Canis lupus familiaris: one gene and its partners. The protein of the gene in region 6 purifies or fractionates together with the protein of the main gene of each other region. This does not show direct contact. Links are inferred from orthologs where the notes say so. Each region holds a gene or a part of one and is shown on either strand. Other genes may lie near its edges. The genes, in order: MTA2, SMARCC1, HDAC4, BRMS1, NR0B2, SIN3A and ARID4B.

Region 1 (2,909 bases), on a different chromosome or scaffold from region 6:
AGTACCACATCAGGCTCCTTACAGGGAGGCTGCTTCTTCCTCTGCCTGTGTCTCTGCCTCTCTCTCTGTATGTCTCTCATGAATAAATAAAATCTTATGCTAAATAAGATTTCAGGCAGGAATAAATTGCTTTTTGCAGAGAACAGAAAAAAGGGAGCCTCAGTGACCATCTGTGTTCTCCCTTTTTCCCATGTCTCTTTCAGGAGCCACACTCGAGGGGTCATCTGTCTAGACCTGAAGCCCAAAGTCTCTCCCCCTATACGACCAGCGCCAACCGGGCCAAGCTGCTGGCTAAGAACAGGCAAACATTCCTGCTCCAGACCACAAAGCTGACCCGACTGGCCAGACGCATGTGCAGGGACCTGTTACAGCCGAGGAGGGCCGCCCGACGACCCTATGCCCCTATCAATGCCAATGCCATCAAGGCAGAGTGTAAGGGCAGGAGTGGTGGGGTTAGTGGCAGGTCAGGATACTCTGGCTGGAAAGCAGAGCAGAGACCAGTGTTTCTCTGGATGTTTAATGACAGGGATACCAGGCCACAGCGCTTGGGTGGGAGAATAGATGTGGCTCCTGGCCATAGGAGAGGCCTGAATAGCGAAGCCCTTTCGAGTTTTCCTCTTTGTTCTTCAGGCTCCATTCGACTTCCTAAGGCTGCAAAGACTCCATTGAAGATTCACCCTCTGGTGCGGCTACCACTGGCAACCATCGTCAAAGATCTGGGTAGGTTAGGGTATGAGGAACCCGTTAGGTGGTTTCAGGCTCACGTGGTTTCAGGCTCACAGTCATCTTTTTACCATCAAAATCCAAAGAGATTTAGTTTAATAGTTTAACAGCTGGTACTTTTGTATGTTAATAATGGTTTTCATAAGCTATCCATAGTGAATGCTAAGATCACACTCACGTGATCCTTGCTTGCCAGATCCCTCCCACCATCACTGCCTTTGGGGATGCCCAGGGAAACTACATTGAGAATAAAAAGCATGAAAGTTCTAAGTTTTCTCTTATTTTTTTTAATCTGGCAGTGGCCCAGGCACCTCTGAAACCAAAAACACCTCGGGGTACCAAGACCCCAATCAACAGAAACCAGCTGACCCAGAACCGGGGTCTGGGGGGTATTATGGTGAAACGGGCCTATGAAACTGTGAGTTAACAGCGGGAGTGGGCAAGGCTGATTGGGTGGGCATTTATGTCTGATAAGGATCCATGAGTCCACTCTCATTGTGTGCCCCCTCCCCCTTTCCAGATGGCAGGAGCGGGGGTCCCCTTTTCTGCCAATGGAAGGCCTCTTGCCTCAGGGATTCGCTCAAGCTCACAGCCAGTTGCCAAGCGTCAGAAACTAAACCCAGCTGATGCCCCCAATCCTGTGGTGTTTGTGGCCACAAAGGATACCAGGTACAGAGCCCACCATGGGAGGGGCTGAGAAGTTGAGAACCCACTTTGGGGGGTAAGGATAATAGTATTGGTGTGGGATGGGGATGTCAGGAAAGAATGGGTCCGAAGGCAGAACTGGATTGTGGAACGTGGGGTTTCACCTTGAGAGCCTTAGCCTTCTTTATTCTATTCTCCTTTTCCTGGCCAGGGCCCTGCGGAAGGCTCTGACCCATCTGGAAATGCGGCGAGCTGCCCGCCGACCCAACTTGCCCCTGAAAGTGAAGCCACCACTGATTGCAGTGCGGCCCCCAGTCCCACTGTCTGCACCCCCACATCCTGCCAGCACCAATGAGCCCATTGTCCTGGAGGATTGAGCATCTGTGGGGGAAGGGAGGTGGCTGAAAGCCAGAGGGTGGGTGCCCAGGGCATCCAACCTCCCTTCCCCTCTAGTAGCAAAGGGAATGAGGAGTGAGGGAGGGAGCAAGTGTTTGTCCTTGGAGGGGTTGGGCGCCCTCTGGTGTTACCACTTGGAGGCCTGTCCCCTTTCCACGTTTTCTCCACTTCTGGTGGTGGAGGGCACACTGCAGGAACTTGACCCACTGTGGGAACCTAACCTGTTTTGGGGGTTAGGACCCACAGTCGTCTTGGACAGTTTTGGGGGGAGGGTTTTTTAATTTTTTAAAAATTTTGCCTCCCTTTGTGAAAACGGGATGGGGAGGGGAAGGGTAAATTGACAGGAGGTGGTGGTAGGGGGAGGGGGGCGTGCACTGCCATGACTGCCATGTCTATCCTTTTTTTTTTTTTTTTCCTAATGGGGGTTTCTCTTCCTGTCCGGTGTCCGGACTTTCCTAATTGGAGTTTGAGGCCCCTAAGCTGGCATCAACCCCAACCCATGTTCTCTATTCCTTCCCTCCCTGTGCCCCCTCCGCCTTTTGTACGCCAATTCTCAGAAATAAAGATCTTTTGTCCATTTTTTTAACCTCGGATTCTGTAATTGGTTCTTATAGTAACAAATAAAAAGCTGTTTTCTTCAGCTTCTCCTGGCTCAGCTGTTCTCTGCCATGGGTGTGTGTGTGGGTGTGTGTGTGGGGGGAGGACAGTGACTTAAATTGGAAAAATAAAGGACAATGGGTGATAAAGGAGATACAGATGGGGCTTGCCTGGGAACAGCTTTAGGAGCTAGGCAGCCTGTTCCGGCTAGCTTTCTCGTGGGACCCAAACTGCTCCCCAGCTCCCTGTGGTGCTGGAACCCAGGCTCCCTCTTGGCACACAGATTGAGAACGGTTGGAATGGATGGACCCTGGATGGTTGGTGGCTTCCACAGGAAGGGAGGTGGGAAGATGCTTTTTCTTCTATTTTCCAACCCTTAACCTCTCTTTTAGGAAATTCTGGGAGTTGCTAGAGATCAGGGCAAGATGTAGCCTACTTGGGGGGCAGGGTGCTGCACTCTTACCACCCAGCCCTGTGGTATGTTTGCAGATTGCTGCTTCAGGGATTCCCAAGACCAGCCTCAGCACCTGCCTTGATATTGAGGGCAC
Region 2 (3,500 bases), on a different chromosome or scaffold from region 6:
AACAGTAGCGGTGGAAAATAGTAAGCATCAAAGAGTTCCTCATGGTTTGCATGTACCTGATAGCTTTCTTTTACATGCCAGTGAAGAAATACCTTTTTTTCAGTGTAATTTTAACTACATTTTAGATGAGTATGTCTTCCAATTAAAAACAAACACTAAAAACAGTTGTTTTGAGGAAAGTCTTTTCTTATAGGCAGTTGAAACAAAAAATGAGTGCCACAGCCTCAGCTTTACATTTGGAGCTGTACTCGGAGCACAAGTCATGTCCAGGGGGGATGGCTGTGCAATGGCTGGGTGACCCTTAAAGGACAGCTTCCTGGGAATGGACAGCTATGTTGTTGGCTTTAGTTCATAATATTTCAATAACTAGGAATAGTGTTTGGGATCTGGATATTCCTCAGACTTGAAAGAATAGGGCACGGGGTGGAGTGGGACAGAGTCCCAATCCTGTTTGGACTTAATTTCATAAGATATTTATGAGCAAGGTTATAGTTTTAGGCAGGAGAGAGACCGTGTCATGTGTGAGACATGACTCATTCTGGTAATAGGAGAAGGATGAATTTAAGGATAGAGAAACAGGGAATTCTAAGAATCCAGGTAAGGAGCAATGAAGGGACCCAGGTCATAGCAGAAAGAATGAAGGTGTTTTGTAGTACTATAAAATGTTTGCTAATATATCAGCCCTCTCCTTCCTTCCCAGCCAGTCTGCCACCATGTTCTGTCTGAAAACATCTTCAATTTCCTGTTATGTAATACTACCATCAGTGCCCAGGCTTGAAACCTCACTTTCTCTGCCTAATGCTTTTCTCGATACTGATTCTTTCTTGAATTTTGCCTGTCAGAGGATTTCTTAGTTGTATTCTGGAAAAAGAACTTCCTGAACTATATTTATTCTGGCTGAGGAAATTAAAGAAAGAAAATTTTTTTTAAATAAGTTTTTTTGAAAAGACTCTGGTATAGTATCCCCAAAAATCTCCCTATAATCAGAAGCATAAAATGGCCCCAATTATATCTTTCTGGCCCTGAGGATCCTAAGGAAAGAGATTGATTTTTCTTTTTTGTTAAAATCTGGGTCTTTTTTCTAAGTAAGTCCTTCTAGAACGATCTGAGGCCACTAGCTGTCCAGAGAAAACCCAGAATTAGCCTTGTCTTTCAAGGGATTAAATGAATAAGACAATTCGCTAATGTGAGTTGTGAGGTGTCCTCTACCTCTCTAGTAAGAGGACAAGCCTGGGGCAGCAGTTGGAGCCCTGGGTTAAGAATTCACCTTCATAAACGTAGAAAGAATCCTTATCATTGCAAGCTCATCTCATAGCATAGATGAGCAAATCAGGCTCTGGATCTGTTTTGCATTGTAGAATGTTCAACAGCATCCATGGCCTCTACTCACTAGATGCCAGTAGCACCTCCCCAGCTGTGCCAAGCAAAAATGTCTGCAGATATTACTAAATGTCCCCAAAGAGGCAAAATTGTGCCTGGTGAGAATCATGTGAGAATAGCAGCTTTGATCAACTACTGAATACCTTCTTTTTATCCATTTCCTTGATTTTCTTCATAACGTTGTGCCTCTCTCCCCTTTGGAGACTACTTTTACTCTTTTTTGAAAGTTGTTCAGCATTTTTCTCTGACAAATTATGAATTTTTAAATTGAGTATTTATATATTTTATAAATTTCAGTATTAGTTTCTTAATTTTTAACAAAAAAGACATGGAATTTGAATGGGATTGTGTTGAACCTGTTACTGAGCTTGGAGAGAGATGATATCCTAATGTATTTGTTCCCTACATACTTCATTTTTGTGGTATTTTAAATACCTTTTTTTTTCCAATTTAAAGCTTTTCATTGAAATTTTTTTCTATTCCACATCTCTCCTGTGACTTTGTTAAACCTTTTAGTTTTAGTATCTTTTTGTAGATTTCTTTGGATTTTCTATATAAACGATTATATGTATTAATGAAAGACAGTTCTTCCTTTTATGTGTGTATGCTTTTAATTTTTTTTTGCCTGATTGAGATTTAACGTAGTTAGGAAAGCAGTCAAACCTACCCATTTTCTTGTGTGCCATATAATCATTTTCATTATTTTTTTTTTAAACACACCCAAAGAACAGTCACAGGCTTCTGATACTATTACATATCTTGGTTCCTTGTTACCTAATCCTAAAGCTCCTGGGTTTTTTTCTGTTACAGGCCCTGGAGATGTACAAGGATGATTGGAACAAAGTGTCAGAGCACGTCGGAAGTCGTACTCAGGATGAATGCATCCTCCACTTTCTGAGGCTTCCTATTGAGGACCCATACCTTGAGAATTCGGATGCTTCCCTGGGGCCCCTGGCCTACCAGCCTGTCCCTTTCAGTCAGTCTGGAAACCCAGTCATGAGCACTGTTGCTTTTTTGGCATCTGTGGTGGACCCTCGTGTGGCATCTGCTGCAGCAAAAGCAGCTTTGGGTATGGACTTGTTTGAACCATGTCAGCAACATAGTAGTTTCAAATAATGGTTTAGTGCTTTCTTTCATATATATGTTGTCTCAGATTTATGTGTTATCCGCTGCTATGTTAATTTCAGTTATACAGAAGAAAATCACATATTACCCTCTCTATATTATATTGAAAAGTATTATAATATTTATTTATTTGTTTTTAAAGATTTTATTTGTTCATGAGAGACAGAGAGAGAGACAGAGACACAGACAGAGGGAGTAGCAGGTTCCTCCCAGGGAGCCGGATGCGGGACTCGATCCCAGGACTCGAGAATCACACCTTGGGCCGGAGGCAGGCATTAAACGGCTGAGCCACCCAGGGATCCCCACATTATTGGATTTTATTGTAATTGGAACTTTCTCACACTATAAAAACCCTTTCTTGACTTTCTGGCTATTTAATCCTTGTTGTTTGCTTTAATATCAGTCTAGCCTGCAGAGGTAGATTAGTTTGGGCAGAAATTTTGATTGTTACTGATGGAAATTTAGAAATCTGTGTTATTTATATAATAAGATATTATAACATGTAAGCTAAAACGTAGAATCATCGAATTTCTTCAGTATACATGATTGTCTCATTTGGCATTGTTGTTTTGCTGGGATAAGACTGAGTCCCCAGAAAGATCACTATGCAAGACACTAATATGTTAGATTTTCTAGTGGTTTACGTTAAAGCAAAATCTTGTATAAAACCAAGTCCCACTGTTCCGTTTTTATTCTTGAACAGAGGAGTTTTCTCGGGTCCGAGAGGAGGTCCCATTGGAATTGGTTGAAGCTCATGTCAAGAAAGTACAAGAAGCAGCACGAGCCTCTGGGAAAGTGGATCCCACCTACGGCCTGGAAAGCAGCTGTATTGCAGGCACAGGACCCGATGAGCCAGAGAAACTTGGTGAGTTATGGCTGCCCCCGAGGACAGGAGTAATAGATGTTGTATTTTCCTGTCAGCTTCCTGAAGTAATTGGGTTTGTTTGCACTTAAAAGGGAGAATAACAATTAGTAATAACTTGTCCCTTAAGATT
Region 3 (3,968 bases), on a different chromosome or scaffold from region 6:
GCCCGTACCAACCCAGACTCAGTGCTTCCACCATCCTCTGAAGCCCCGATTCGCCCTTGAAATCCTGTCTCCATAGCCCATTCTCCCAACTAGCAAATGCCATCAGCTGCCCGGCAAAGCATGCGCAGAAGGAGGAGTCCCTTCTGAGTGATGAAAACGTTCTAACATGGGTTCAAGGTGACGCTTGCACATCTTGGTAAATTTACTAGAAATTCACTGACTTGTGCATTTCTGAAGGGTAAAAGGCCGTGTGCTCAGTAAAGTTAGTTATTAAGTATGTGTAGAGCTTGGCTACTCCCCCTCTCCGTCAGTGACGACGGCAGCCCGGCCACCACTGGCTCGCACCTAGAACCCGCAGGCACCTCCCCACCTGTTCCTTGCTTCTGTTGTAGCCCCCTGTTCCAGCTCAGCCCAGAAGCCAGAGTCTGGTTCATAGGTAGTGTCCCCCAACACCCAAAGGTCCACGCCTTAATTCAGAATCTGTGAGTATGTGACCTAACGTGGCCAAAGGGACCTTGTAGGTGTGATTAAGGATCTTGAGATGGATGATGATCTTGAATTACCCAGGTGGGTCCAGTGGAATCATAAGGGTCCTTCAGATGGGGAGGCAGGAGGGTCAGAGTGGAAGAAGGAGTCGTGAGTACAGCTGCAGTGACTGATGGCTTTGAAGACAGGGGGACCTGGCGGCTGGGAAAGGCCGGGAGCAGATTCTCCCCTGGAGCCGCCAGAACCGTGGGATAAATCTGTGTTGTTTGGAGCCACTAAGTGTGTAGGAAGAGCCACAGGAGATGAATGCACGTGATGACCTTGTGGCGCTCCTGGAGCCCGGGCTCAGCTTTTCTGCTTCCTATCACTGTGACCTGGGCAGATTGCTCTGCTTCCCCACCTGTCCGTTTTGCACATCGGTTAAATGGGGATTAGCAGGCGGTTAGCAGTGTCCGTGTGTCCCGCTTGCTGCGTGGTTCACGCACTCGTTTCCTTTGTGGTCGCCTCCCCTCCAGGCTGTGCGCTCCGTGGAGGGCGGGTCTGGGGGCTTGTTGTGCCTGTCCCCTGCGGACTGTCTGGAGAGGCTCCAGAAGGCTGGGCGTCAGCCAGCACTCATGTGCTCAGTGTGTGAGCCTGTGGGCTGTCCCTGGGCTGGTTTTCCAGGGTGAGCACGTCCACTGTCGCCAGAGCTGGCAAAATGGCTCTGGCCACGTTCAGAGCTGAAGAAACGCCTGGTGTGACTATGTGGCCCACAGAGTGGGTGGGTCCCCAGGACCCCGGAGCATGCAGGTGCCCCCGCGGGCTTGCTGGAGGTGAGCCCAGGCTGCGGGACTTCCTCCTCGAGGGCCTGGGCCCGAGGGGGGCACATTTCAGTGGCTGGCTGGAGGCGGCGGGCAGGAGGCCCACCTCAGGCGCGCCTGGCAGCGGCGGGGGACTTGGGTGTCGGGTGGAGCGTGTTCTTTATCAGCTCCCACCGAGGAGGAGTCCACGGCACTTGCGCCCAGTGAGCAGCGTCTGTCCCCTTGGCTGTGGGTGCTTAGGACCCTCGTCTGCCCCTGGGCCGCACTTCGAAGGATGTTCTCTGGTGGGTTGGGGGCCGCTGAGCGGTGCTAGGCCCTGCCTCCCTCCTCCTCCCTCAGCATCGGGGCCACCTTCATGTTCCCCGCACTTTTCTGGGTTCGGGGCCAGGGGGCATAGGGAGCAGCTGGGCCACCCAGCCACCTCCCAGCCCTTGCATTTTCGGGGGTGGGGTGTGAGGGGCAGCAGACAGTGCACTTCTGCGGGCTGTGCAGAGGGCGCTTTTTTGTTTTTCACGGTAGAGGCTTTCCTCAGTGTTCGGCCCGTATCCAAGGGTGAGTCTCCACGAAGCTGGGCGGGTGTGTTGGCGGGACCCGTCCTCTGGCCGGTCGCTGGGCAGGGGCCTGGCGCTTCCTCGGGCCCTGGTGCCATGACCTGGCCCTTCCCTCCTGGGCTCTCGGCTCCTCCCTGGGGCGCAGGCCCGGCCCCCGCACTCCGGCCTGCAGTGTATCAGCTGTCACTGCTCCTGCCTCGGGCCAGCACCCAGCTCCCGCCCTCCGCTCGGCGCTGCTCTGGGAGTCCCTGCGTGCGGGGGGCGGGCGGGCCGTGGGGTCAAAGGCTGCCCGTAGCGCGGCCTCCCCGGCCCCGAGGTCCCTGGCCGTCCTGGCTTCCGGGCCGGGTCCTTCTTCACTCTGCATCGCCGGGCCCCTTCCCAGCTCCCAGAATCCTGCGGCTCTTGTCTCCTCGCACGATCTGCTCCTGGGAAGGATTTCGGTCATTTGGCTGTCCCCAGAGTGGAGTCTTCGGAGGAGGAGGGTAAGTGCCAGCAGCCCGTGTTCCTCACAAGCCGTTCTTCAAGAATCAAGAACGAACCCTCCTCGGCTCAGCCAGGCGGCGACTGGGTGGAAAGGCCTCTTAACCTTGTGTTTTCACAATCTAAGTTAAAGATTAATTGGACTCCTAATAATCCTGCAGAAATTCTCGACATCTCAGTTCGCATTCCCTTTCATCCATTTCTTCTTAAGAAAGCCCTGTCGCCGGACTTCAGAATTGAAATCTGCGTGGAGCAGATAACTGTCCGCCCCCACGCCTTCCGTGGTCACTTTAGGAACCGGCAGAGGCTGCACGAGCGGTTTTCAGCCGCCAAGGAGATTATTTTCGAAATGACCCTGCAGTCCGTGAAATGACTTCTTTGAAACAGGAGGCTGAGGAGGTCGGGCTGCCTGTACTCAGGTCGGGGTGTGAGCTCGGCGTCCCCAGGGGGCCCACCCGCTCCCCACCGGGTTCTCACCGGGGCACGGCGCCACCGCCTTGTTTGCTCGTCTTCCCACTCCGGTGGCGGGAGCAGCTGGTGTACAGGTCGGGGGGGCAGGTAACGTGCTGGATCCTGGGGACGGGGTGTGGCCAGTGTCCGCCGGGGCGCAAAGCGGTTTTTGCAGCCCAAGCTGCCGGGTCACTGGGTCAGGGCCCACAGCCCCCACGGAGGCCCAGCACAGGTGCCCTGCGCTGGCCGGCAGCCCCCTCGCTCAGGTTACGCAGCGTGACTGGACATGCTTTGAAGGCAGGTGTCCCCAAAGGTACTGTCCAGGAAGGGAAAGCTCTGAGCTTTCGACCTCCTCATCCACACGCAGGGCCGGCCCGGGGGGGGGTCGGGGGGTCCTGGCCCATCCTGGGGGACCGTCGCACTCCCGGAGAAGCGGCCGCGCCAGGCCCTCGGGAGGGCAGAGCATTCGGTCCTCCTGGCTTTCTGGAAGCTGGATTTTGTACCGGAGGGCAGCAGATCTGTGCTGATCCTACGAAAAGAAGGAAGACAGAGGAAACATGGTTATTTCCCCGTCAGAAATTTTCATTTAAAACTGATTCATACAGGTCAGTTTAAATGGACTTTAAGACGAAGTTTCCCGTGAGGAAGTGACGGTGGCCGAGTGGAGCTGGGTGAGTGGGTCGGGCCATCGTGCTTCCTCGTCCTGGCTCTGTAGCCCCAGGAGTCCTTCATCCCTCCCGTCAAGAACTAGGTCTTAGCAAGCCAACGCCTGCGCCCCTTGGGGTGACATTTTACCATAGGAAGGGGCCCCGCATTGGTGGGGTGAGGCTGAGAGGCTGGGCCCAGGCTGGGGACACCTGCAGGGGGCAGGGGGCCAGCACGGTCCCCCGGGGAGGGCCTTGCCCCGTGCCCCACCTCCCCGCCACCTGCACCCACCCGGACCGCGTGTGAACCTTCTTGACACGTGAAGTGCCCTCTGTCCCTGAGAAGGCTGGGAGGTAGGATTTGGGAACGCCGGTCCATCCTCTATCGCCAGGAGACCCAAGAGCCCCGGGTGTATCACTCCAGGTGCAAAGTGGAGTGAGACACTGTCCCGGGCGGGTTTCTGCACGGCTCACCTGCCCCCGGGGCCCCGGGCCTCTTGCCCAGAGGCCAGTAGGGGATGCGGGGAGTCGCGGCCCGCACCCGACGCACCCTGTCC
Region 4 (4,077 bases), on a different chromosome or scaffold from region 6:
GCCATCACTTATCATCACCCTCAGTTCTGAGTGAGAAAGTGACCGTGTGGGGAGTCAAACCAAGCCCTGCCCAAATATCTCCCAGAAGCCTGGGAGCCACAGAAACGCTCACAATCTTGGACATTGTTGGTGATCCCAATCTGGGGAATGCTGGCCAAGGTGATGGTCCAGAAGCTGGGAAACACCAAGGATGGATTCCCCACTGCCTCTGGGACTGGGCCCGCACTCGTGGCTGGGGTGTTTAAGGGCCTGCACAGACTGGACTTGAAGTACTGAGCCAGCTCCTTTACCCCACCATCCTTAAGTGCGCCATGCCTTCATACTCCCCACCCCGTCCATTGATCCTTTCAGCTGGAATGCCATCCACTTCTCATCCTGAGAACACTCTGCAATCCTCATTTTCTCGCTGTGTTCTGGATCAACGCCTATGTCCTTCTGCTTTCTCTGGAGCCTCATATTACCAGTACCCCCATCTTCACTGTTTCTCCAATCCTTCCTCTTGACAGCTTCTACCCATGAAATTTTAGATGTGTTCGGGTATTGTCTCCCATTTAGAAATAGCAGAACACAAAACCTCGCCCTATTCCACTTAACCACTCCCCATTTCCTACCTCACAGCTACCTTTCCCAAGGCTCTGGCTGTTCCTACTCTTTCACTAACCAGAGGTTCCATTCCATATCTCTATGATTGCCCTCAGCTGAAGTGAATTCTGTGGCATCAACCGATGTCCACCTTGTGTCCAATGCCAGTATTTTTTAGTGCTTATCTTCGTTGACTTCTCAGGAACAATGAACACTATTAATCATTCTTTATTTACTCATCTAAGATTTATTGAAGACCTAATATATGCCAGGTACTGTCAGATGCTATGGTCAGATGCTGGGCACGATGGAGCAGACAGACACAGTCTCTGATCTCAAGGAGTTTGTAGGTTCCTGGGAGACAGGCAATAAGCAGACCGTACTGTGGTATGAGAACGGTTAAGACTGGAGGACATATGGGAGAGGCATCTCACTGGAACCTGGAGCTTGCTCCAACAGTGAGGGCTTGCAGAGGAAGATCCTTGCTGCAGCAATAGGGAGGACTTGCAGACAGATGAGCTGAGATGGCTGGAGAGGGAACATTCCAAGCAGAGTGAATAGCATGGGCAAAGACTCTAGAATGAGGGAAGGGGCAGAGGTGGGGGTACATGAGTCTAAGCCTCAGAGAGAAATCTGGGGTGCAGAGATCTGGTCATCGGCATATAGTGAGTGCTTCAGGCCTTGGGAGAAGGCACAACCAGCAAGGCAAAATGTGTGGAGTGAGAAGAGGTCCAAGATAGAACTCCCAGGGCCACCAAAGGGCCAGGTGATGAAAGCCCTGCAAAGGAGAAGGAAATTAGCAAGAAACAGAGGAAGAGAAGCACAGTCATGGGGAGAAAGAATTTCAGAAGGAAGTACGATCATAGTGCCAAATGCTGCCAAGAGATCAATTATGAGGAAGACTAAACAGTCCACCCAACAGTTAATCTCTACCTACTGAAGGCTTCGATTTCACTGTGATGTTCTTCCAACTTCTCTGAGCAGGGTACTGTAGTCCTTTAGATGGATATAGACACCACTCCCTCCAGGAAGCTCTACTTGTTTACATCTCCTCTCTATTTGCCGTTTTCACGTCTGTCTATCCAATCAGGCTGTAAGCCTTACCAGGATGGGGATGCACATGCACCTCGTTCACCCAGCACAGTACTTACTTCACTTCACAACTGGTGGATATGCAAATACAAATTAAACAAAGCACACTTTTTCAGGGCAGCTTTTACTTCTTGATTGCCCCAGGACCCTGTAGTGGTAGCAAACCCAAAGTATTCTGTTAACTTTCCTTGACACACTGGGACGCCTGGGTGGCTCAGGAGTTGAGTCGGCCTTTGGCTCTGGGCGTGGTCCTGGGATCCGGGAGTCCCGCATAAATTTTCCCTGCGGGGAGCCCTTGACACAATTTGAGTTGTGTATAATTAACTGTCTCGCGGCTCAGTTTAGTCTCATTCTTCAATGATTTCACAAGTGAACCTGAGCCGAAAACCTCAGTTCTCCAAACCAACCTCATCTTTCCCATTCTTAAGCAGGAACTGAGTTCCTGCAGTTCCCAAACTTCGCAATTCCTCTTCATTGTAAAATTATATATATTTCCTTTGTCTCCAGCTGTCTCTGATTCTACTGAGGGAGCAACATTAAATCACAACCTCCCCTCCTTACCCCAGGTGCAAAAAGAGGCTAACCAAGAGGATAACCATTGCTACTCTGAGCGTTCTAAAGATTGCAAGGCGTAGGGGATGGAAAAGCAAAGTATAAGGCGCTGTACACACACAATTTATATTTTTAGAAAGTGAGCATTTCGGGGCGGACCTCCACGGAAGGCCGATTCTTGTCCTTGGAGAGAGCCCACCCAGACCCCTGCGCGGCGCGGGGCGCCAGGACCCTCCCGCTCCGTTCCATTCCCGTCTGCGCCGGCGCCGCGGGCGGGGGAGTCACTGCCTCTTCGGCGGCCAACAGCGGCCCCGCGGCGCCGCACGCGTCCGGCCGGTTAGGTCTCCGCTTCGGCCCTGATTGGCCCAGCTCCGACCGACTGGCCAGAGAGGCCGAACCAGGTGCCCTGAGGAGCGTTACGCACCGTGGGGAGGGGGCCTCCAGCTTGACTTCTGAAACTCCCTGAGAGGTGCCCGCGGCTGCCGGGCTCCCGGAAACGACGCGCCAGTCCCTCTACTCCGGGAGGCGGGGCCCGCTGCACTTCCGCATACGTCATCAGGAGGCGCCGGTCGCGAAATTCACAATTAGGCAGCTCGCGGCGAAGCATGCTGGGATACCGCGGGGCCGGTCTCCATAGCAACCGGCCGACATTCACGCAGGGTTTCGGCCGGCTGGCGGAAAAGACCCCCGTGGTTTCCTTGCTGTGCGGTCGGCGCCTCTTGGGCCGCAGCAACCTCCTCCCCACCCCTGTGCCCCCCGCCCGGGGAAGGGAAGAAGCTGCGACCCCCCCCCTCTGCCCGCCAGGTCCAGGAGAGTCATGGAGCCAGCTGTAGGTGTGAACACTCATTTATTTACACATGGTCGTTGGTAGGCAAATAACCCAGTCTGTTGGACGGCACAGATTTGGCACGGAACCTGCAGACCCTTCCTTTCCCCAGAGCTCCCGAGGGTGGAGGCCTGGAAGAACCAGGAAGTTTAGTTTTCTGCCCCAAAACTAAGAACTAAATTCAGCGCCTTTATCTGATTTCTTCCAAAAAGTCCATTTTGTTAAGTACTCAGACTTCTCAGTCTGCCCCATTCATACTCTTTGCTCTCCGACTGCTCACCCACCCCAGATTGTTAATAATAATAACAATAATACTGTAATAATATTAATAATACTTCACATTTGTACGAAGCTTACAGAATGTTTTCACATATAGCATCTCATCTGAGCCTCCCAACAGTTCTGTGAGGTAGGTATTTTCACCTCCCCTTTTACAGATGGGATAACTGAGGCTCAGAGAGGAAATGGGATTTGCTCAAGGCCACACAGCTAGTTAGTGGTAAAGCTAGGACTTGATCCCAGCACCCCATATTCAAGTCCAGTGTTCCAACACCACAGCTACCACGGTAAAAGTGGAGTGACATTGATTATCCCTGTCAGGACTGAGGGACAGCCTAAGGAGGGAAAAGGCTGAGACTTCTCCGACTAGGGGAGGGAGGGCCTCAGCAGTGACGAGGGGAGTCAGGGTACTTGGCCTTCAACTCCTGTTTGAACTGGCGGTAAAGGATCTTATTGTGCTGATTTTCTGCCTCCTTTTGGGGATGGAACTTCAAAGCTTCCTTAAAGCCCTTATGAACCAGGAAACCTTCGTTCAGCACCTCGAAATCAAATCCTGCCACGTGCAGCTCACAGGCCTGTTGGAGGAGAGACAGGTCAGTGAAGTTGGATGACATTTCTAGGGCTGAGACTGGCATCCCTGAAGCCTCTCTCCAGCATCCCTACTCCTCTGGAGGCATCTACACCATCCAACCACTTCCTCAACTAGGACTATCCTGCCACATTGCCTCCTTTCCATCCAGGACCAC
Region 5 (3,804 bases), on a different chromosome or scaffold from region 6:
AGCCCTGGGTTCCCTTGCCCCTCCCATTGGGACAGCAGTGGACTGTCTTCTACTGTCATCTGCAGGAATGGGCAAGTGAATGATCCCAAACTGCAGAAATTCCCGTGACCTTGACCTTGCCTGTTTAAATTTGAGAATGGGCTGCTTCATATTCCTTACTGGCTGTGATCTGACTTTTGTTGAGGTGAGAGGGAGCCTGTATGGCTCAGAAGCCAAGAGAGGGGTTAGCGATCCCCACAAGGGGATCAAGAAGAGACACTCTCAGCCCTAAAGATAAAGGCAAGGAAGTAAGGGGGCCTGAACTGATCCTAGTCCCTGTGCAAAATAAATCTCATCCCTCAAGATGAAATAATCATCCTGCCCTGAAAAATTAATATCCCAGTTCCCTGAGGGCTGGCTCCAGCACTCCTTATGATTCCTTCCTCCTGAACTCCTGATAGTGGCAGAGTGGGCCCTGGAGGTGGGACAGTCCCTTCCATGTACAAATTACAGTGTCAGGCTCCAAGGGTATCATGCCTTTTATTACAAAAACCAATAACTTAAATCATTTCTGTACAAAGTCAGTAGGACTTGTCCCATTGAGCAACCTAACTGCCATCCCCATCTCAGAAGGGGTCAGGAGTCTTAGCCCAGAAGCCAGAGGACCACTCCAGTTCCAGACAGCTGGAGCGCCATGTCAAACCAAGAAAGGCCAGTGGGGGCCGTGTGGTGAGTGAGGTGGGGGGTGCCCCTAGCCCATCTCTCTGGGGCAGGACAGGCTTGTTCCAGGGAGGCTGAGTGCTGCCTGTACAAACTTGCTCCCTCTGGGGGCAACAGGTAGCCCTGGGGACAGCTGGGCCAAATCAGTGCTGCCAGCCTTTGCCCAACCTCCACTTGATCTCTGCCTGGGCTGGAACAGGTTGGCTCAACAAAAGCATGTCCTCAAGGAGGCCAGCGATGTCAATGTCTCCAACAATAGGGCGGAAGAAGAGGTCCCCAAGGAGGCTGGGCGGGATGGACTTGAGGGTGGAGGCTGTGAGGAGGACACGGGCCAAGCGGCCTTGGCCTGCTGGGCACCAGGGCTCCAGGGCCTCACATAGCGCATGATGAGCCTCTTCCTGCAGGTGTCCGATGTGGGAGGAGGCGTGGAGGCCTGGCAAGCCTGTGGGCAGAGAGGGTGAAGAGGGCGGGTGAGTACCCCACTCCCAGGCAGCAATATTGGCCCAAGACCGGAGGTCACTGGCTTGGCCTTTGAGGCCCCATTACTACCTCCTCCATTTATGTGTTTATCACTTTATTTATCCATCCATTTATGGGGCAGCCCAGAGTAATGGTTAAGAGCCAGGCAGCCCGGGTTTGAATCCCATGCTGTCACTCACTGGCTGTATGACCTCAGATATGTTAATATCTGTGCCTCAGTTTTCTCATCTGTAAAATGGGGATAATAATACCTATCTCCTAGGCATGTTATGAAGTTTAAGTCAGCTAGTATATTCAAAACCCTTATAATTGGGCCTAATATATGGTAAATGTAATATGAATATTCATTACTATCACTATAATTAATTACCATCATTTATGCATTCTACGAGGGCTTTTTGATGAGGAATTCTCATCTCACATTTTCATTCTTCTCCATGGGGTCTTTCTGAACCCACAGGGTTTTACCTGTGACAGAGGCAGAGTTGTGTCTGCTCACCTTCCCTGACAGTCAGGGCAAGTTTCTTAGGCAGAGTGGCATGGACCAGTCTCTGGAGGGAATAAACCTGAGTTCCCATCCCTGCTTTGCCCCTACCGAGGCTGTGTGACCTTCAGCAAAACACTTAACCTCTCTGGGAGGTGACTTTTGGGGATAATGAGGACCCAAAGAGAAAACGGGTGTCAAGCCCTTAGAAGATGCCTTCCCTGCCTGGGTCCCCATCCAGGAATGTCTGGAAGCTCACCAGGATTGAAGAGGATGGTCTCTTTCAGGTAGGCGTATTCCTTGGGGCCCAGCTCCAGGCTCCAGAAGGACTCCAGGCAGCACTGAAGCCACTGTACGGCAGCCAGTGAGGGCTGGGGCCGATCGGGCAGCTGGCCGCTGTGTGCACCACTACTGGGCTCCTCCAGCAAGATCTTCTTGAGTATGCTGGGAACCGGCGCCTCAGCCACCTCGAAAGTCACAGTGTCTTGGGCCAACCCCAGCAGGAAGAGGGGGCCCCAGCAGACCCGCAGCAGCAGCTGCTGATCTTGAGGGGGCAGCTGGCAGAAGGACGGCAGGTTCTTGAGGAAGACTACTGTCCTGGCCAGAACATCCAAGGCCTCCCGGCAGGTGCGATGCGGGGCACACAGCCGGACGGGCCGGTGCTGTCTGCACAAGCAGCGACTCTGAACCGGGGGCACTGGGGGCCTGGCCGTGAGGCTGGGGCTCAGAAGTGCATAGAGAATGGCTGGGCGGCCTGCAGCACCCTGACACGGGCAGGTCCCTGGCTGGCTGGAGCTCATGGTTGGGGATCTGCTCCTTCTTCCTCCCAGCTCTCCCGCTTCTGCCCTCTGCTGTGTGCTGGGTGCTATTTATATTCCCCCAGTGGGAGGGACGGTGGGTGGGGGCAGGAGGGACGGCCTGACAACCTTGACTCCAGAAGTCATGTTCATTGAAAAAAAAAAACACGCACTGACCCTGCAGGATTGGTGGGGAAGTGGCGGGGGAGGGGGCTTTGGGAGTTCCACGTGGCCCTGATATCACTTCAGTCAATGAAGCAGCCTGTGCAGGGCACAAGGCTGCCTGCCCGCTGGCCCGGCTGCCCCTTATCAGATGACTCAAGTGGATAAACAGGGTCATTAACCCAGGCTGTACCGAGGCACCAAGGCCTCAGGTGCACAATCAGCAGGTGGCCATTGCAGGTGTCCCTATTGGTGCCTGCAAGACTGGCGCTAAGCTGGGAGGCCAGCCCCGGAGCTGGACGAGCCTTGAATGCAAGGCCCAACCTGGAAGTGCCTTATCAGGGACTTGTTTGCCTAACCTTGGGGCTCTGCTCCTGTTGTTGGTAAGGAACAGGCTGCGGGAACGGAGCCAGGACCCTGGGGGGCTGGAAGGACTTTGCCCACTGTGCAGGCCAGGAGGCCTCCCTCTCCCGACTCAGTTCTGGGGCCCCTCCAGAAATAAGGTACCTAAGAACTTCTCTCTCCTTAGCCTGGATTTCTAAAGTTCCCAAAAGGCTGTCTCTGCTGAGAAGCCCTCACAGAATGAGAATAAAGTTTGGCTGCTATTTATTGAGCACCTACTGTGTGCTAGGCACTTTCCATTCTAATACTCAGAGCTTCCCCATGAGGCAAAATTCTTACTTTTTGAAACTGAAAGAGGTGAAGTGACTTGCCCAAGGTCATGTTAAGTTTTTTAGTAACTAGATGGAAATGAGACCGCCAAGGCAAGCGAGGGTCCAAGAACAGATTTTATTGCAGGCACCCTCGGGCGAGGTTCCACGACTCACGGGGGAAAGAGAGTGAGTCGAGGAAGTCGCGCCAAGACAAGGTGGTAGGGGGTTTACATAACGTTGTAAGGCAGAACGGTTTCCTATTGGTTGGCTCATATGCAAAGGAAGGATTGCAATCCAACCAGTCAGAGTGACCCTCACTATGCAAAGGAAGGATTGCAATTCGACCAGTCAAAGGTGACTTCCTCCTCTGGGGTTTGAAGGGCATTGGGTTCGGTTGGGGAAGTCCAAAGGAGAGGTGTAAGGGTCTGCTCAAGCTGTCAGCAGGTCATTGGTCCATTGGCGTCCCAAGTGGAGGTGGTGACAGGAACCCCAGCCATTTTGGCGTATCCGCCATCTTGAGGAGTTTCCC
Region 6 (4,155 bases):
TCACGTGTGCGCTGGCCCCAGGCTCAGCTCTGTTAAGCAGAGATGTAGGGTGGCCCCTTTCAACTTCTGGTTGAAAGTTAGGACAAACACGGCAAATTATTCAGGGAAGGATCTGGGTTAGAGTTTTTGACTTGAAGTTAGGCAAGGCTTTCTGGGTTGGACGGCGGCGAGAGAGAAAATAAATTTTCCCTTGGCTCCACCACGTACCCCTCCCACCAGAAGACAGATCTCTCTTGTCTCCAAACCGAGTATTACAACAGCCTTTGTGCCTCCCCTTGCCGCCTACAGGCACCCCTCACTCAACCAGTCCCAGAACCAATCCGGCTACTGGGATGTTGAGCATCTTACCCCGCAGCTTTGAGCCTGCGGTCCTGCGAACAGGCTGCCTGCACATGATGCCGTCTAAGAACTTTAACCAGGTTTTAAAGTCTTCTGCTGTTTGGTTCCATCTTTCCAGCCCTGATTTCCTTTCCTTTTTTAAAGATCTTATTTATTCATGAGACACACACGAGAGAGAGAGAGAGAGAGAGAGAGAGAGAGAGAGAGAGAGAGAGGCAGAGCCACAGGCAGAGGGAGAAGCGGGCTCGGTGCAGGGGGCCCGATGCGGAACCGCGGGGTCACGCCCTGGGCCCAAGGCAGACGCTCAGTCCCTGAGCCCGGGGCGCCCCCCATCCCACCCTGCAGTTCATCGCTGCAGCCGCCCTCGAAGCTCCTAAACGCTGTCCTCCATTTACCCCTCCGGTTCCTCCCCAGAAGGGACTTGCCCCTTCCTTTCTGCCTGATGAAAGCCTTAGGACCCTGCGGGGCTGCCGCGTCCCCCACGGAGACTTTCCCAGTTCGCCCCCTGCCCTGGGCTCCCAGGTCTATTTTTCTGCGCGTTGTGGCCTCGCCTGGCGCGGCCGTGGGCGCGGCACACCTGGGGCAGGTGCGGGGCCCTCGAAGGGCTCCCGGGGCCGCCGCGGCTCTCAGGGCAGGTGCCTCCCCGCGCCCCGGGGGCTCGGCCCCACTCCCGCGGCAGCCGCCTGGCCGAGGGCGGGGGGCGGGGGTCCCCGCCAGCTCCGAGGGCCCCGCAGCGCGGAGGAAGGGGGCCCCGCGCCCCAGGTCGCCGTCCGGCCGCGGGCCTCCGGGAGCCCCAGGGGGCGGCCCCGCGGGAAGGGGCCTCGGCCGGGGCCGCGCTGCCCGCTCGCCGCCACTTTAATTTATTTATTTGAGGTTGTCGGGAGCGAGGCAGCGAGGCAGCGAGGCAGCGTTCAATGAAGGGAAGGGGCGGGGCGCGGCGGCGGGCGGGCCCGGGGCTCTGACGCGAGCGCCGCGCAGCCAATGGCCCGCGGGGGGCGGTCCCCCCCATTCAGGACTCCTCGCCTGGCTCGGAAGGTATGTTAAACAGCTGCTTTTAATTTGGTCTCCCCAATGTCGGGCGTTTGGGGGGCTGGCCGGCCGGCCCGCCGCGGTGCGGGGCTGGGGGGCGCCGGGCTCCGGGCAGGCCGGGGAGGAGCGCTCGGCGCCGCCCGCCCGAGCCCGTGTGCCCCCGAGCCGGCCGGATCCGCGGGCCGGGGGGCGGCCGGGGCGCGCCGGGCAGTCGGCCTCGGTAGGTGTCGGCGGCGGCCCGGCCGGGGAGACCCCCGCCCCCGCCCCTGCGGCGCCCGTGGAGCGACTACTGTGAAGGGGGGACGGGGGCGGGGGCGGGGGGCGGGGGGCGCGCCGCCGGGGGCCGAGCCGGGCGGGCCGGGCCCACCGCGGGCGCCGGAGTTGCGGCGAGCGGAGTTGGCGAGCGAGCGGGAGCCCGCGGCTGTCCCCGCGCCGCGCAGTGCCGGCTGCCGCCCCGGGGCTCGGCTCCGGCCGCGAACTTGGAGGGGGCGGCGGGCGCGCTCCGGGGCCGCGGTTGTTATGGACTCTGGGGGCGGGGGCAGCGCCGGCCCGCGGGAGGGGCGCCGGGGGCGGGGGCGGCACCGGAAAGAGCCCCGCGCGCCGGCCCGGGCGCCCCGGAGCCCGCCAGGCCGCGAGCCCGCGCGGACCTCGGCCCGGGGGTGTGGGAGCCCCGCGGGCTCCCGGGGCGGCCCCGGCGGATGCCTCCTTCCCCGCCCACCCGAGGCCGCGGCGGCGGCGGCGGCGGCGGCGGCGGCGGTGGCCCCTGCCCCTTCCCCTCCCCCGGCTGCGCTGCTCGCCCGCCGACGGGGCGGGGGCGGGGGCGGGGGCGGGGGCTCGGCGTGCGAGCGCGCCCGCGAGGGGGTGGCCCGACTGGGGCGGTGAAGGTCGGGAACTGGGAAAACACTCTGCACGCTCGGAATCGGGAAAAGGAAATGCATCAGCGGGCGGGGAGGGGCGCGGGGGGCGCGCCTGACAGCCGGGATGGCGGCCGCGGGCTGGAGGGCGGGGCGCCGGCGCGGGGCGGGGGCCGCGGGCCGAGGAGGCGCCGGGCCCGGGCCCGCGGAGCGCCGCGCCGGCCCCGCCGCCACTCCCGGGCCTACCCTGTTTACTATGTACTCCAGCCGCCGCTTGTGCAACCCGCCCGGAGGGGAGCCGGGGGGCGGGGCCTGCCCGCGCTCCCGCCCACCGCGGGCTCCCCGGAGGGCCCGCCTCCTCTTGTCTTCCATTGGCTGCGCGAGGCTCCCCTCTCCCCTCCTCGGCCCGCCACTGGGCGACGTGCTCGCGAGCTCCGCCTATCGGAGGCCGGGCTGGAGTTTAAGTTGCTAGGATTTTTGTTTTTTTTTTTTCCGTGAAGGGCGGAGGGAGGAGTCCTGCGGCTGACGTGCGGCGCAAGGTCCCGCCCCCGCCCCTGATTGGCGCGGCGGGAGGCCCCGCCCCCCGGCCGGGCGAGCGCGGAGGGGAAGTCCACCCCTGCTCCCCGCCCCCTCCTCCAGCCTGTGTGCGCGCTCCGCACATGTGGGAGTCCCGCCTCGCTCCTTCGAACTGTCCTCCCGCCCGGAAGTCCTGGGTCTGGAGTGCTCGGCAGGGGCGGGGCGGGAAGGGGGCGAGGAGAGCCGGGGAGGCACACAATGATGCCTCTAAGGCCGGAGACGGGGTAGCTTTGCGGTGCAGGGAGGGGTTGCAGGCAGCAGTGGGTTCAGGGGTCCCGGCTTGAGGGGCTCTGCGGGGGTCGGGAGGACACGGTGGGATCTGGCCTCCCGGGCCAAGTACTTAATTTCCGACGCTGCGGCCTGGCCGTCCCCGCGCCCCTTGGCTTCCCGGAGGTCGCCCTAGACTTAAGCTTGAGAACACCGCGGACGCGGGCAGCCTGTCGCTGGGTGGCTTCATCTGAAACCCTGGGCGACCTAAGAATAGCCTGGGTGCCTTAGGCGTGGTCCAGGGCGGCTCACCCCCGGCTCCCAGAAGTCGGGGGCGGCCCATCCTGCTCGGATTCCAAGTGGCCCTTCAAGGCCAGGGGCATCGTCGCGCGGCACCCAGTCCAGGGAGCAGGGAAGGACGAGCGCCGCTTCGTCCTGAGCTCGAGCAGGCTGACTCAAGGGTCCGCTTTCGCCGGCGTGACTTATGTTCAGAGCTCCGTCCTGGGGCAGGGCTTGGCTCTCCTCCGTTCGCTACTCATGGAGCCCACGGTCCACTGCCTTGCTCTTGCGGCTTGAAGCCATCCTTGCAGTCAGGCCCACCTGTTGCCAGCGCTGGTTGCCGTGCCGTCTCCGCGGGACTGCAGAGGGACGACGAGGTAGCACCTGGGCGCAGGTTCCCCGGGGCCTGCCACTTGGGGACTGGTAGGTTGGCTTGGGGGAGTCGCCTTTTTTGCTGGAGAGCGGGAAAACTCTGGTCCCGCCCCCTCCTTTCCTGGCGCTCCTTGAGCGCCCCCCAAAGCAGGGCCAGCGTCCTTTCTCCGCCCCATTTGGGGACTTTAATAAAAGCAACCTCGGCACTGCAAGCACTTTGTCTCTGTGTGTTTGAAGCACTATAACCTACACAGAGAAGGCCTAGGGACTGCCACGAACACTTGTTGGCCGAAGGACTAGCTGAACAGCCATTCTTACCTTTCGTCACCAACTGCAGGATTTTTATCCTTTGTACGAAGTGTGGGGTGAAGGTTTATTTATGCCGAGGCCTGTCTGCTCTCCTCTTTCCGTTGGAGCGAGCCTCCAGGTCTACCCCCGGAGGTCGCAGACGCCTCACACCTCACGCTCCGCCTTCCGGAGGCTTGCCAGGGCGGTGGCT
Region 7 (4,071 bases), on a different chromosome or scaffold from region 6:
TAAAGCATCACGTAACTCTCCTTTGTATTACTCACCACTATTACCAAGGTCACACTCGTGTGTCCACTTTACTTCCTGTCTGCACCGTTTTTTTTTACATGGTAGGCACTCAACAAATTTGTGAACGATTGAATGAACCAACGGAAACGCGCTAGAGGATGAAATCAGGGCATACGCTTTCACTATAAAAAGATAAAAATACCATGCAATTTCCCCCGTCCCCCACACCCCGACAATGATCTGGTTTCAAAATTGCTAAATAGTGATATACAAACGTAAGCTTGGCTGTGAAACGCAGAGTGAATCCTTCCACGCAAACTTTGGGAGATGACAGAGCTGAAGAAAACTGCCCGAGATACAAGCAATAGATTTAAATAACTTCAAGGCAGATTTTTAAGAGACTTGGCAAAACCGCTTCAAGCGATTCCTCTACTCGTACGAAGCCCGCAGGGTCAGTGAGGTTCCTGCTTCCTCTCCGCTCAGATGCCCCCTTCCGCCGCCCTGGATCACCTACCGCTCCTCCCCTTCTCTAGCAAGTACGGAAAATTCATACACAATCCGGTTCAGCATCCGGGTCCTCACCCTCCTTTCTTTCTTTCCTCTCGACCCCGCCTTCCAGCCTCCCCCGCCCTCATTTCCCATCCGGGTCCCCCCCCCCCCCCCCCCCGGCCGCCACCACAGCCGCTCACGGTTCAACGGTGATATCACAACTTTTCGCGTTGCCGGTCCGGGGAGTAGTAGTACCCAGCATCAACTTCCCACTTTATAGTTCTGACCAAGGCTCCGCCTGACGTCTACATGGGTCCCTCCCCTTGCTTCACCACAGAACTCTCCACCCTCCTCAGCCACCAGCGACACTGCATTACTCGAAGCAAGAAAATGCGCCATCCCGGTCACACTGCGCAGGCGTCGTCGCCGCCTCCCCACTGCTTTGTCGCCCCGCCTCCTCTCCTTCCCCCTCACTCCTCGTCCCACGCAGGCGCGGGGCATTGCGGGTCTTGCAGTTCTCCTGGGCAAGGGCTTGCGCATTGGCCCCAGAGGTTGGACTACACTTCCCGGCAAGCTTTGAGGAGTAACTTTCAGTTTCCATAGAAGTGGTGGGAAAATGGCGTCGTTGTTTGTATTCCGAGGACCAATAAGAATGGGATATAGGCGGGTTCTAAAGAACGCTAACCAATCCGAGGTCGTCTAAGAGGCCATCCGGGAAAGAGGTAGGGGAGGGGCAAGCTTCTAGGGGAGGGGAGAGAGAAGGGAGGGGGGGCACTGAGCGGGGGGGGGGGGAGCGATGTTTGCCCGTCAGTCGAGTCCGGAGTGAGGAGCTCGGGCGCCGGAGCGGAGGGAGAGTCTTGGGCTTAAGCTTGCCGCCGCCACGGCCACCGCCTGGACCTTTGCCCGGAGGGAGCCGCAGAGGGTCTGGCGCTGCCGTCCTCTGGAGGGCAGCGCGATTCGGGGCCCGGACCTCCAGTCCGGGAGGGATTTTTCGTCGTCCCCCCCTCCCCCCAGCGAGGGAGCCCGAGCGGCCGCCAAACAAAGGTACCAGTCGCCGCCGCGGGAGGAGGAGGAGCCGGAGCTTCAGCCTCAGCAACCGCTGGACCCGCCGCCCTTCTTCCCCCATCTCTCCCCCGGGCCTACTGGTTTTGGGGGGGAGTAGGGGAGGGAACTCTGGACGTGCCAGGGTCAGAGCTCGCCTCCGCGGAAGGTAGGGGCATTTTCCGAGGCTCTCGCTGTCTCGTGAGGGGGTCCGTTCGGGAGTCACCCGGCCCGGCCCGGCCGAGGAGCGGGGGACGATCGCTCGGTGTCTCGCCGGGCGCTGGGGTTCGGGGCCTCGGCCTCCCGGGAGCCCCCGCCCCCATGCAGTTGCAGAGTGCGAGTCGCCCCCCATCCTGGCGGCCGCACACTCAGCGGTTCAGCGGCTCTGGGCCGCGGTGGGGGGCCCGGGCCGGCACGGGGGGCCGTGCGGTCTCCCGGCCCCTCGGTCCTTTGGCGGCCCCCGCGGCCCGGCCGCCGGGGATCCCGCTCGCACTTGTCCGGTCTCCGCCCGGGAACGGGACGTGGGCAGCGGCTGTGCGGTGGGTCGTCCTGCCCGCGGCCCTCCGGCCCGCCCGGCCTCCCGCCGCCCCCACCCGGGGCCCCTGGAGCCGGGGCCTGCGCGACCCTATGGGGCGCCGAGCCGCTCGGCGGGGCCCAGAGGCCCCCGGTGGGGACAGCCGGCCCTGCGCCGGCCCCCGGGCTTGTTGTGAGTTTCTTCTCTGACAGAAATGGCGTCATTGTCGGAGACGGGAAACTCCGTCGGGTCCCGACAATGGGGACGGGAAGCTGCCGAGCTGTGTAGGTGGCTCGGTTTGCGGGGCTGGCGAGGCCGCGGGGAGCCCCCTCGTCGGCGTGTGGTGGTTCCGGGGCTGACGCCCGCTACGTTTCTTGCTTCGGGCTTCGGGCGTCGGGCTTCGGGCTTCGCCCGGTTCCCTCCGCTTCCGCCGGTGCAGAGGGGTGCCTGTAGTGTTGACTGGGTGTCTTTTGTTTCCCCTCCAGGTGCAGGTGAATCTGGTGTTTTCGCGGGGATCGCGGTCCCGGAATCATCATGAAGGTAGGATTGCTTACGGAAACCGAGCTCTGGGGTTACAGAACAGGGGGGTTTGATGGAGGCCGCGTGTGGGGCCTCCGAGTTTTGCCGAGGAAGGTGTGTTTGGTGGCGGGGTGCCGGAGCCCGTTTCCCGGAAGACGATGGGGGTCAGCTGGTGTGGCTCTGTCGGCTCTGCTGTGGAGTTGGGGCCACTTATAGGATGTCACACGGAGCATAATTCTCCCATATAGACCGTCTCTTCTTGCAGGGTAAGGCAGGAGTAATTGCATGAAATAAAGTATTTTAAAAGGTAAAACAGAAAAAGCAGGTCAAGTAATCCGACTCTAGAAACTGAACTGTATTGTGGTTCTATCGATTACACCGATGAAAGAAAATCTCGTTTATTGTGTGAACAGTGTTGTGGGTTTTTAGCAGAAGACCTATTTGGTAAGCTATGAAAATAATCTGAGTCGAGAGATTTTTGAAGAGAATCTTTACACACCTCAGTTTTTCCTTGTATTTCCTGGGATTTAGGATTATTTGGTTTATTTTTTCTTTGATCCTTTTAGTCGGTAAATTGTCAGATACTGTAATAGAACCAGTGTGGATTGATGTGGAAAACCCATTGCCAGGTTCCTCTTAAATATAAACATGTTAACTGAATGGAGGAGAGTGTGTAAAAAGTAGAATTTACTTAGTTCGTGGAAGAAATTATTGCAAGGAAAGAAAGTATAGGTTGGTTTTGGGTTTTTTTTTTTTTTTTTTTGGTATATGTAATTGAATGCTGTCAATCTTTAATACATCCGAGAATAAAAAGCCTTAGTTAGATATCTGACATGTCTAGGTTCAACTGGTGGAACTTAGAGACTAGAGATATTTTTCATTCGTGACAAATTCAGAAGTGCTTGAAAGGGTAGGGTGTGTTCACAAGTATAGAAATGGATAGAATAGTATGTGAAAATATAAATGTCTACTTTTGGTAGTTCCTTGGAATTATTTGAAAACAAGTTTTCTTTTAGGATTTTCTGCTTTTATAGTACTGCATCTAAATGAAAATTTGTAATGCTTGTGTTTATGGAAGAAAATAAAAGCTGTGACTACTTAAATATTTATCAGCTATATAAAGTAATTAAGTTTAGCTGTAGATTTTTTTTTTTTTAGATTTTTTTCTTCTTGAGTTTGGGGTGCTATAAACTGAAAATATCTGCTGAATTTTTCTGTCTCACCTTCATGTAAATGAAAAATACAATCAATGATGTTTCAGAAACAAATCCCTTTTGTTATTCACAGATGCTAGCTATAACTCTTGTGACCTGTATAAAACAGAGACAAGTGAATTTTTTTTTTTTTTTTTTTTTTTTGACAAGTGAATTTTTTAAGGAAAACCGTATATCTTCCTTGGTATTGGGTGAGAATTTCTTAAGAAAGGCATTGGGTTGAATAACATATAATAAATTCAGAAGCTGAATAAGAGCATTTAGTTTGTGATAGGTATCGCAATCTGTTGTAGT

Evidence for each region.
Region 1: the proteins of SIN3A (region 6) and MTA2 purify together in Homo sapiens (affinity purification with mass spectrometry; 4 studies listed by BioGRID, with this or other methods). This does not show direct contact. The link is inferred for Canis lupus familiaris from reciprocal best matches to the Homo sapiens genes SIN3A and MTA2.
Region 2: the proteins of SIN3A (region 6) and SMARCC1 purify together in Homo sapiens (affinity purification with western blotting; 3 studies listed by BioGRID, with this or other methods). This does not show direct contact. The link is inferred for Canis lupus familiaris from reciprocal best matches to the Homo sapiens genes SIN3A and SMARCC1.
Region 3: the proteins of SIN3A (region 6) and HDAC4 purify together in Homo sapiens (affinity purification with western blotting; 3 studies listed by BioGRID and IntAct, with this or other methods). This does not show direct contact. The link is inferred for Canis lupus familiaris from reciprocal best matches to the Homo sapiens genes SIN3A and HDAC4.
Region 4: the proteins of SIN3A (region 6) and BRMS1 purify together in Homo sapiens (affinity purification with western blotting; 4 studies listed by BioGRID and IntAct, with this or other methods). This does not show direct contact. The link is inferred for Canis lupus familiaris from reciprocal best matches to the Homo sapiens genes SIN3A and BRMS1.
Region 5: the proteins of SIN3A (region 6) and NR0B2 purify together in Homo sapiens (affinity purification with western blotting; 3 studies listed by BioGRID). This does not show direct contact. The link is inferred for Canis lupus familiaris from reciprocal best matches to the Homo sapiens genes SIN3A and NR0B2.
Region 7: the proteins of SIN3A (region 6) and ARID4B purify together in Homo sapiens (affinity purification with mass spectrometry; 5 studies listed by BioGRID, with this or other methods). This does not show direct contact. The link is inferred for Canis lupus familiaris from reciprocal best matches to the Homo sapiens genes SIN3A and ARID4B.

The regions. Positions count from the first base shown.
Region 1 is NC_049239.1:54,563,067-54,565,975, forward strand, and holds the end of MTA2 (metastasis-associated protein MTA2), read left to right. Parts: intron 1-203; coding exon 204-432; intron 433-630; coding exon 631-720; intron 721-1,022; coding exon 1,023-1,141; intron 1,142-1,243; coding exon 1,244-1,392; intron 1,393-1,579; coding exon 1,580-1,745; 3' UTR 1,746-2,409; downstream 2,410-2,909. UniProt on the Homo sapiens protein: May function as a transcriptional coregulator. Acts as a component of the histone deacetylase NuRD complex which participates in the remodeling of chromatin.
Region 2 is NC_049241.1:41,673,012-41,676,511, forward strand, and holds part of SMARCC1 (SWI/SNF complex subunit SMARCC1), read left to right. Parts: intron 1-2,190; coding exon 2,191-2,449; intron 2,450-3,208; coding exon 3,209-3,370; intron 3,371-3,500. UniProt on the Homo sapiens protein: Involved in transcriptional activation and repression of select genes by chromatin remodeling (alteration of DNA-nucleosome topology).
Region 3 is NC_049246.1:49,717,733-49,721,700, reverse strand, and holds the start of HDAC4 (histone deacetylase 4), read left to right. Parts: upstream 1-1,168; 5' UTR 1,169-1,183; coding exon 1,184-1,298; intron 1,299-2,119; exon of another isoform or gene 2,120-2,319; intron 2,320-3,968. UniProt on the Homo sapiens protein: Responsible for the deacetylation of lysine residues on the N-terminal part of the core histones (H2A, H2B, H3 and H4).
Region 4 is NC_049239.1:51,468,946-51,473,022, reverse strand, and holds the start of BRMS1 (breast cancer metastasis-suppressor 1), read right to left. Parts: upstream 2,801-4,077; 5' UTR 2,651-2,800; intron 27-2,650; 5' UTR 16-26; coding exon 1-15. Other genes in the region: B4GAT1 (beta-1,4-glucuronyltransferase 1), read right to left, coding at 3,715-3,906. UniProt on the Homo sapiens protein: Transcriptional repressor. Down-regulates transcription activation by NF-kappa-B by promoting the deacetylation of RELA at 'Lys-310'. Promotes HDAC1 binding to promoter regions.
Region 5 is NC_049223.1:72,630,622-72,634,425, reverse strand, and holds NR0B2 (nuclear receptor subfamily 0 group B member 2), read right to left. Parts: upstream 2,526-3,804; 5' UTR 2,464-2,525; coding exon 1,923-2,463; intron 1,142-1,922; coding exon 843-1,141; 3' UTR 501-842; downstream 1-500. UniProt on the Homo sapiens protein: Transcriptional regulator that acts as a negative regulator of receptor-dependent signaling pathways. Specifically inhibits transactivation of the nuclear receptor with which it interacts.
Region 6 is NC_049251.1:38,743,107-38,747,261, reverse strand, and holds the start of SIN3A (paired amphipathic helix protein Sin3a), read left to right. Parts: upstream 1-1,355; 5' UTR 1,356-1,374; intron 1,375-4,155. UniProt on the Homo sapiens protein: Acts as a transcriptional repressor. Corepressor for REST. Interacts with MXI1 to repress MYC responsive genes and antagonize MYC oncogenic activities. Also interacts with MXD1-MAX heterodimers to repress transcription by tethering SIN3A to DNA.
Region 7 is NC_049225.1:4,973,367-4,977,437, forward strand, and holds the start of ARID4B (AT-rich interactive domain-containing protein 4B), read left to right. Parts: upstream 1-1,271; 5' UTR 1,272-1,533; exon of another isoform or gene 1,534-1,699; intron 1,700-2,529; 5' UTR 2,530-2,578; coding exon 2,579-2,584; intron 2,585-4,071. UniProt on the Homo sapiens protein: Acts as a transcriptional repressor. May function in the assembly and/or enzymatic activity of the Sin3A corepressor complex or in mediating interactions between the complex and other regulatory complexes.